2 linked regions of the Callithrix jacchus genome follow. The protein of the gene in region 2 interacts with the protein of the main gene of each other region in a pairwise test. Links are inferred from orthologs where the notes say so. Each region holds a gene or a part of one and is shown on either strand. Other genes may lie near its edges.

Region 1 (3,803 bases), on a different chromosome or scaffold from region 2:
CCTCCAGGTGTGCCCACTGTCACCCTGCACAAGTGCCACCCACCACGCTCCCACACCGGGCCTCGTTCCCTGAGCCCTTGCAGATCTGGGGGCAGTGGGCACCTCTGCACAGCCTCCCTGGCCTGATGGACATGAGCTCTTTGTCTTGGGGGAAGGCATCTTCAAGACACTAACCTCCACTCTAGACCACACATAGGGAATTCTGTTAAGTGACAAAGTCTAGATGAGAGTTGGCCTCCAGCCCCGACCCACTGTCCTCCACATTGTGCTGTGCAAAGAAAGACCAGTGCTTGCCATCCCAGCACTCCCACCCAACACTACCCCTGGTTTCCAAGCATGACAGCTCAGAAAAAAAAGGCCTCCCTCCCAAGGACACATCCTTATGAGGACAGCTGATGCCCCGAGGTACCAGCAGCACGGTTGTAGGACATTCTGTTAGGCGAGGACCTCCCCACCTGCAGCTTCCCAGAAGGTGCCCCGCCTAAGGTGCATGAGTCCCTGGGAGGCAGGCTCTGCCTGGCCAGGGTCGGTCACTCACCTTCAGGCGCAGCGGCAAGTCCTCAGGGCTCTTCCCCGCCAGCTCGTCATCATCTTCGTCGTCCTGAAGGAACAGGCTGCTGGGGATGACGCCCTTGGCGTACTTCTTAGTGATCTCCACAAAGTCATCCAACGCGATGTAGTTCTTGGCTGAAGCATGAGAGAAAACAGCATGGGGGCCCCCCACTGCAGCCCCACTGCCACCCTCACACAGAGGATGGGCCGGGGACAGCGGAGTTGGAACAAACTAAGAAAGGAGCTGAACGGGTTCAGGTGGAGGAAATCTTTCCCTGGGTGGCCTGAGGGGTGAGGACCAGGCTGGGTGAGGAGGACGGGGCAGGTCTGCTAAGAGCCAGCCTCCATTTCCAGCCCCTGGGTGTGCTGTCCCCTCCCCAAGTGTCCGTTTCTGCTTAGCTCCTCATGCCTGGGGCCACTCACCCACACCTTTCAGCCCAGCCCACCTGCTAAGCCTTACAACCTGCATCTCCAGTGCATGCTCTCACCCTCCTCTGCCTCCAGCTGGCGTGGGGCTTCTTATAGCATAGGTGACACCCTGCCAACCACTCCATCTAACATGATCTGCACAGGGACTACTCTGCGCCCACCAACCCCTCCATTCAACATGATCTACCACATGATCTACCACCACGCCTACTGTGCCCCTGCTAACCCGTCCATCCAACATGATCTACCACATGCCTACTATGCGTCTGCTAACCCCTCCATCCAACGCAATCTGCCACACGCCTACTATGCGCCTGCTACCCCCTCCATCCAATGCAATCTGCCACATGCCTACTATGCACCTGCTACCTCTCCATCCAACATGATCTACCACACACCTACTATGCGCCTGCTAACCCCTCCATCCAACACGATCTGCCACACACCTACTATGCGCCTGCTAACACTTCTATCCAATGTGATCTGCCACACACCTACTATCCACCTGCCACACACCTACTAATGCACCTGCTACCCCCTCCAATCAACATGATCTGCCACACACCCACTATGCGCCTGCTAACCCCTCCATCCAACATGATCTACCACACACCTACTATGCGCCCGCTAACCCCTCCATCCAACATGATCTGCCACACACCCACTATGCGCCCGCTAACCCCTCCATCCAACATGATCTGCCACACACCTACTATGCGCCCGCTAACCCCTCCATCCAACATGATCTACTACATGCCTACTATGCGCCTGCTAACCCCTCCATCCAACATGATCTACTACATGCCTACTATGCGCCCGCTAACCCCTCCATCCAACACGATCTGCCACACACCTACTATGCGCCTGCTAACACTTCTATCCAATGTGATCTGCCACACACCTACTATCCACCTGCCACACACCTACTAATGCACCTGCTACCCCCTCCAATCAACATGATCTGCCACACACCCACTATGCGCCTGCTAACCCCTCCATCCAACATGATCTACCACACACCTACTATGCGCCCGCTAACCCCTCCATCCAACATGATCTGCCACACACCCACTATGCGCCCGCTAACCCCTCCATCCAACATGATCTGCCACACACCTACTATGCGCCCGCTAACCCCTCCATCCAACATGATCTACTACATGCCTACTATGCGCCCGCTAACCCCTCCATCCAACATGATCTACCACACACCTACTATGCGCCCGCTAACCCCTCCATCCAACATGATCTGCCACACACCTACTATGCGCCCGCTAACCCCTCCATCCAACATGATCTACTACATGCCTACTATGCGCCTGCTAACCCCTCCATCCAACATGATCTACTACATGCCTACTATGCGCCCGCTAACCCCTCCATCCAACATGATCTGCCACACACCTACTATGCGCCCGCTAACCCCTCCATCCAACATGATCTACTACATGCCTACTATGCGCCTGCTAACCCCTCCATCCAACATGATCTACTACATGCCTACTATGCGCCTGCTAACCCCTCCATCCAACATGATCTACTACATGCCTACTATGCGCCCACTAACCCCTCCATCCAACATGATCTGCCACACACCTACTATGCGCCCGCTAACCCCTCCATCCAACATGATCTGCCACACACCTACTATGCGCCCGCTAACCCCTCCATCCAACATGATCTGCCACACACCTACTATGCGCCCGCTAACCCCTCCATCCAACATGATCTGCCACACACCTACTATGCGCCCGCTAACCCCTCCATCCAACATGATCTGCCACACACCTACTATGCGCCCGCTAACCCCTCCATCCAACATGATCTACCACACACCTATGCGCCTGCTAACACTTCTATCCAACATGATCTACTACATGCCTACTATGCGCCCGCTAACCCCTCCATCCAACATGATCTGCCACACACCTACTATGCGCCCGCTAACCCCTCCATCCAACATGATCTGCCACACACCTACTATGCGCCCGCTAACCCCTCCATCCAACATGATCTACCACACACCTATGCGCCTGCTAACACTTCTATCCAACATGATCTACTACATGCCTACTATGCGCCCGCTAACCCCTCCATCCAACATGATCTGCCACACACCTACTATGCGCCCGCTAACCCCTCCATCCAACATGATCTGCCACACACCTACTATGCGCCCGCTAACCCCTCCATCCAACATGATCTACCACACACCTATGCGCCTGCTAACACTTCTATCCAACATGATCTACTACATGCCTACTATGCGCCCGCTAACCCCTCCATCCAACATGATCTGCCACACACCTACTATGCGCCCGCTAACCCCTCCATCCAACATGATCTACTACATGCCTACTATGCGCCTGCTAACACTTCTATCCAACATGATCTACTACATGCCTACTATGCGCCCGCTAACCCCTCCATCCAACACGATCTGCCACACACCTACTATGCGCCCGCTAACCCCTCCATCCAACATGATCTGCCACACACCTACTATGCGCCTGCTAACCCCTCCATCCAACATGATCTGCCACACGCCTACTATGTGCCCGCTAACCCCTCCATCCAACATGATCTACTACATGCCTACTATGCGCCCGCTAACCCCTCCATCCAACATGATCTGCCACACACCTACTATGCGCCTGCTAACCCCTCCATCCAACATGATCTGCCACACGCCTACTATGTGCCCGCTAACCCCTCCATCCAACATGATCTACTACATGCCTACTATGCGCCCGCTAACCCCTCCATCCAACATGATCTACCACACACCTATGCGCCTGCTAACACTTCTATCCAACATGATC
Region 2 (4,372 bases):
TGAGATCAGGAGTTTGAGACCAGCCTGGCCAACACAGCAAAACCCCATCTCTACTAAACAAACAAAAATTAGCCAGATATGGTGACTAACACCTGTAATCCCAGCTACTTGGGAGGCTGAGGCATGAGAATCACTTGAACCGGAGAGGCAGAGGTTGCACTGAGCCAAGATCGTGCCATTGCACTCCAGCCTGGGTGACCAAGTGAGATCCTGTCTCAAAAAAAAAAAGTAAAATAAAAATAAAGTAGTGCATAAAAAACAAGTTTGATAAACCTAGCTTTCTCTCTAATAACATATTTCCTCTCTATAACATGCTAACAAAGATGTTTGCTGGAGAAAGTGCACAATGAGCTTTTATAGGGGGTTTTCTTTTTGGAGACAGTGTCTTGCTCTGTCACCCAGGCTGCAGTGCAGTGGCCTGATCATAGCTCACTAAAGCCTTTAACTCTGGGGCTCTAGTGATTCTCCCACCTCAGCCTCGCAGTACCTGGGACTACAGATGCGCGCCACCATGCCCAGATAATTTTTAAATTTTTTGTAGAGGTGGGGTCTCGCTATGTTGTTCAGGCTAGTCTCAAAATCCTGGGCTCAAGTGATCCGCCCGCCTCGGCCTCCCAAAGTGCTGGGATTACAGGCTACAGCCACCTACCCAGCCATGAGCTTTTGATTCTAACCTGCGACCCTGGGAGAAGGGGAAATTTAGCAGAAGGCAGGGGAACACAAGCCACAGTGCCGCTTTCTTGTTTGGTCAAATTGTGTGCAGATTGGAAAATAACACGCATCTACCTCTCAACTTTATCTCTCTCTCATCTACTTGCCCTTGTCGTCTGTATGTGGCACTTCTGCGATTCTGGCGACTTTGTTATGGGTCAGTTGGAGCACACCCGTTGCACAGAACACATCTAAGCGCTTTGTCTCTTGGAGAGGTCCCTCCCTTGAACTTGCACTATCGAAAGCTCTTAACTAAAAAACTGGTATTGCACGCCTGTGTGCAAAGTGCTTGGTGTGAACACAGCCCACGGTTTCATGCAAATCCCTCTTCAGTCACTCAGGAGCGCGGGCCAAGATCGAGGGCGACGGTGCGCTGGGCCCCGGGGCCAGCTCTGCTCTGTCTTCCCGGGCTCAAGGCAAGACCCTCCCACCCGCCGGCCGGAGGAAGCGAGAAGACCCCAGCCCGCGGGATCCGGGTCCTGCGCGCTCGAGGCTGGCGGGCGACGTAGTGGCGCAACCCACCCCGCCCCGACGTACGCCGCGGAGGCGCGCGCGCACGCAGGCGCGGGGGCGCGCAGGGCCGGGCCGGCACGGCGGCGGGCGCGCGCGCGGCTCGGGGAGGCGGCGGCGGCGGCGGAAGCGGCGAGGGCGGCGGGCGTCCGGCTCTGAGGTGGTGGAGGCGGCGGCGGTTGCTCGGGACTGGGCTCGGCTGGGAGGAGCGAGGGTCAGGGCGCCGCAGCGAGCGCCGATCTCCCGGCTCTACCATCCGCCAGCTGCCCAGACGCCTGGGCCGGGGAGTTTGTGTCCCGGCTCGGACCCCGGCGCCCAGCCCGGAGCCGTAACCTTGAGGCGGCGGCGGCGGGGCCGGGCCGGGCCGGGCCGGGGGGCGGCGGCGCTGGATCCGCGGCTGCCCGATCGTTGGCGGGAGATGTCGAACCCCGGGACGCGCAGGAACGGCTCCAGCATCAAGATCCGTCTGACAGGTACGGCCGGCAGGAGGTCCACCCGCGCTCCGGCGCCCCCTCGCCCGCCCGGGAATTCCCCGCAGGGCGCCCTTGGAAGCGGCCCTCCCCCACGCCGGCCGTAGTCCCAGGACCTCGTCACCCCCTTCGACGTGCGCCCCTCGCTTCTCCCTCCCGGCCCCGCCCCCTCGCCGCTGCCCGGCCCCGCCCCCTGGCCGCTCGCTCCCCCTCGGTCTCCGGTTTCCTCCCGTTCCCCCGCACCTGCCCACTCGCGTCTCCATCCTGGCCCCGCCCCTCTCATTTTCATTCCTGGCCCCGCCCCTCACTTTTCCTTTCTTGGCCCCGCCCCTTGCATCTCCTTCCAGGTCCTATCCCCTCACCTCTCCCCGACTCGGCCCCTAGCCTCTCGCTTCCCTGTCTCTTCCAGGCCCCGCCCCGTTGCCTTTCACCTCCATCCCCAGTGGTCTTCTCGCTTCCTCCCTTTCCCCCCACCCCGGCACCTGACCTCTCACTTCTCCCTGTCCCGCCCACTCGCTTCTCCCAGGCCCCGCCCCCGCGCCTCTCTCTCTCTTTCTCTCTCTCTCTCTCTCTCTCTCTGACCCGCCCCCTCACTTCTCCTTGGCTCCGGCTCCCTCGCTTCTCCCTGGCCCCTGCTCTCTTGCTTCTCTCTGGTCCCGCCTCCTTACTTCTCCCTGGCCCCGCCCCCTCACTTCTTCCTGGTCCCGCCTCCTCACTTCTTTCCTAGCTTCAGTCCTCACTTCTCCCTGGTCCCGCCCCCTCGCTTCTCCTTTTTTTTTCCTCCTCTGCCGTTTTTACCTCCTCTATCCTCCTCGATTCCCATTATCTCCGCCTACCTGCCCCCTCGCTTTTTCCTCCTGGCCTCGCCTGTGTTCCCTTGGTCTCATTCTTCGCTTCTCACCACCTTCCCATCCTCTCTCTTGCTTTCCTGTGTCCCCTCCCACTTGCTTCCTCTCTGGTCCCTCCCACCCACTTCTCCCCCACCTCCATCCTCTCTTGCTACCTCCCCTTCCACTTGCCCACTTGCTTCTCCCCTCCTGCTCTCACCCACACGCTTCTGAACCCCTCAATCTTTCGTTTCTACCTCTCCCCTACCGTCCTTCTTTCTTCCCCTGGCCCCGCCCCTCACTTTAGTCCCCGCCCACATTCCTACCTTGCCCCGCCCCCACGTGCTGTCTGACTGGGCCTCCACCCTTTCTTTCCTTCAGCCTCAAATTTCTCCATCCTATCTAGTAGCTGCTCTCAGCCCTGCTCTCTTCAATCCCCCCTGGTCCAGCCCTTTTCAGTCTCAGTCTGGGCCACTTCCTGTCTCTTAGGCCAGACCGCTAGCTACTCTTGACTCTTCTTAAATTCTTACCTTTTCTGCATTTCACTTCACTATCACCCCCACCCTCAGCACCCCTGAGCCCCAGTGAGACGCTGATCCCTACTCCCACACTCACTGGAGGCTTTGGAAGCTACCCACAGGCAGGCTCCTTCATTCATTTCGTCTTCAATGAAAAGCCTGTGTTTCCTGGGTGGCTCTGTAGTGCCACCTTCAAGAGTGAGCGCGACGCTCTGCCGTGGGCCTGCGACTTGGTGGCGCGGCTGTGTGTAGATGCCAACCTGTCTCCCCAGCGGGCTCCAGAGGTTCTGGACCAGGCTGCATCCTTGTCTTCTCTTGTTGACTCTCCTCGGTACTAGTCTCTTCCCAGTTTCAATTCATCCCTAAAGCAGGATGGCTGTGTTGCAAATGTGACTCTGCTCTAGGACTTTCCAAACTCAAGTATTTCCAGCTCTGGAAGAAAACTAAAAAGTTCATTCTAATCCTCGTCAGGGATTTTCCCCTGGATTTTTCTGTTCAGTGGCCCCGTCGGGTGAGAACTCCAAGTCCGGGTCTGGTCAGGTCCTTTCAAAGAGCATTTTGAATACTTTGTGGCAGATTCACAGCCATAAAGTCATCAGTAAAATTCATGCAAACAACAGGTAATTTTTTTCAAACAAAACTTTACTTTGAAGCCCATAGTTGTTGCACAGCCCAATTTTTGTCTTAAGAGAAGATTTTGTTTTTTTGTATAAAGATGTCAGATAATGATTTGGATTCAAACCCAGACCCTGGTTTTGTAACGTTAATAGGTAGTTCCCTCTGGGATCTTTGCTTCTGGGGAAATATGCTTCTTTACGTCAGGGCTGATAAGTAACACCTCTCACTTTGTAGATACAATGTAGATACATTGTTATTTATGTGATAACATAAAAGTAACATTTTCGAGATTGTAATACTTTGTAAAACTTTTAACTTGGTTCTGATTTACAACTTAGTGGTGATGGTGTACACATGCGATGTAATTGACATCAGATTGGTTTCAGTACCTTGTTAAAAGCGAAAGTAACTGATTTTGTGGGGTTTGTTAGAAATATAATGAACGTTTTATAAGATATAGGTTTTAATTGAAATGTTTATGATATATAGATATATAAATCAATCCTAGTTGCAAAGCCTAAGCCTATCTATCAAAGGGAGGACTTGGTTTGTCCTTCTCCCAAATTACTTTTGGATTCAGGAATTTAGATGTTATCCATGCAAGAATGCTCTGAGGAATTTTTGGATGACATTTGATAGGGAAGGGTCAGGTGATGAGTGTTCTTTCTGAAACACCTTTTCCCTTTCCCTTCCACTAGATGTTATAAATAGTCTGAGA

Evidence for each region.
Region 1: the proteins of SMURF1 (region 2) and WFS1 interact in binary tests that used the Homo sapiens proteins (3 or more experiments, as listed by UniProt). The link is inferred for Callithrix jacchus from reciprocal best matches to the Homo sapiens genes SMURF1 and WFS1.

What each region holds. Positions count from the first base shown.
Region 1 is NC_133504.1:186,512,768-186,516,570, reverse strand, and holds part of WFS1 (wolframin), read right to left. Parts: intron 688-3,803; coding exon 539-687; intron 1-538. UniProt on the Homo sapiens protein: Participates in the regulation of cellular Ca(2+) homeostasis, at least partly, by modulating the filling state of the endoplasmic reticulum Ca(2+) store.
Region 2 is NC_133503.1:14,452,684-14,457,055, forward strand, and holds the start of SMURF1 (E3 ubiquitin-protein ligase SMURF1), read left to right. Parts: upstream 1-1,326; 5' UTR 1,327-1,639; coding exon 1,640-1,694; intron 1,695-3,545; exon of another isoform or gene 3,546-3,643; coding exon of another isoform or gene 3,644-3,656; intron 3,657-4,372. UniProt on the Homo sapiens protein: E3 ubiquitin-protein ligase that acts as a negative regulator of BMP signaling pathway. Mediates ubiquitination and degradation of SMAD1 and SMAD5, 2 receptor-regulated SMADs specific for the BMP pathway.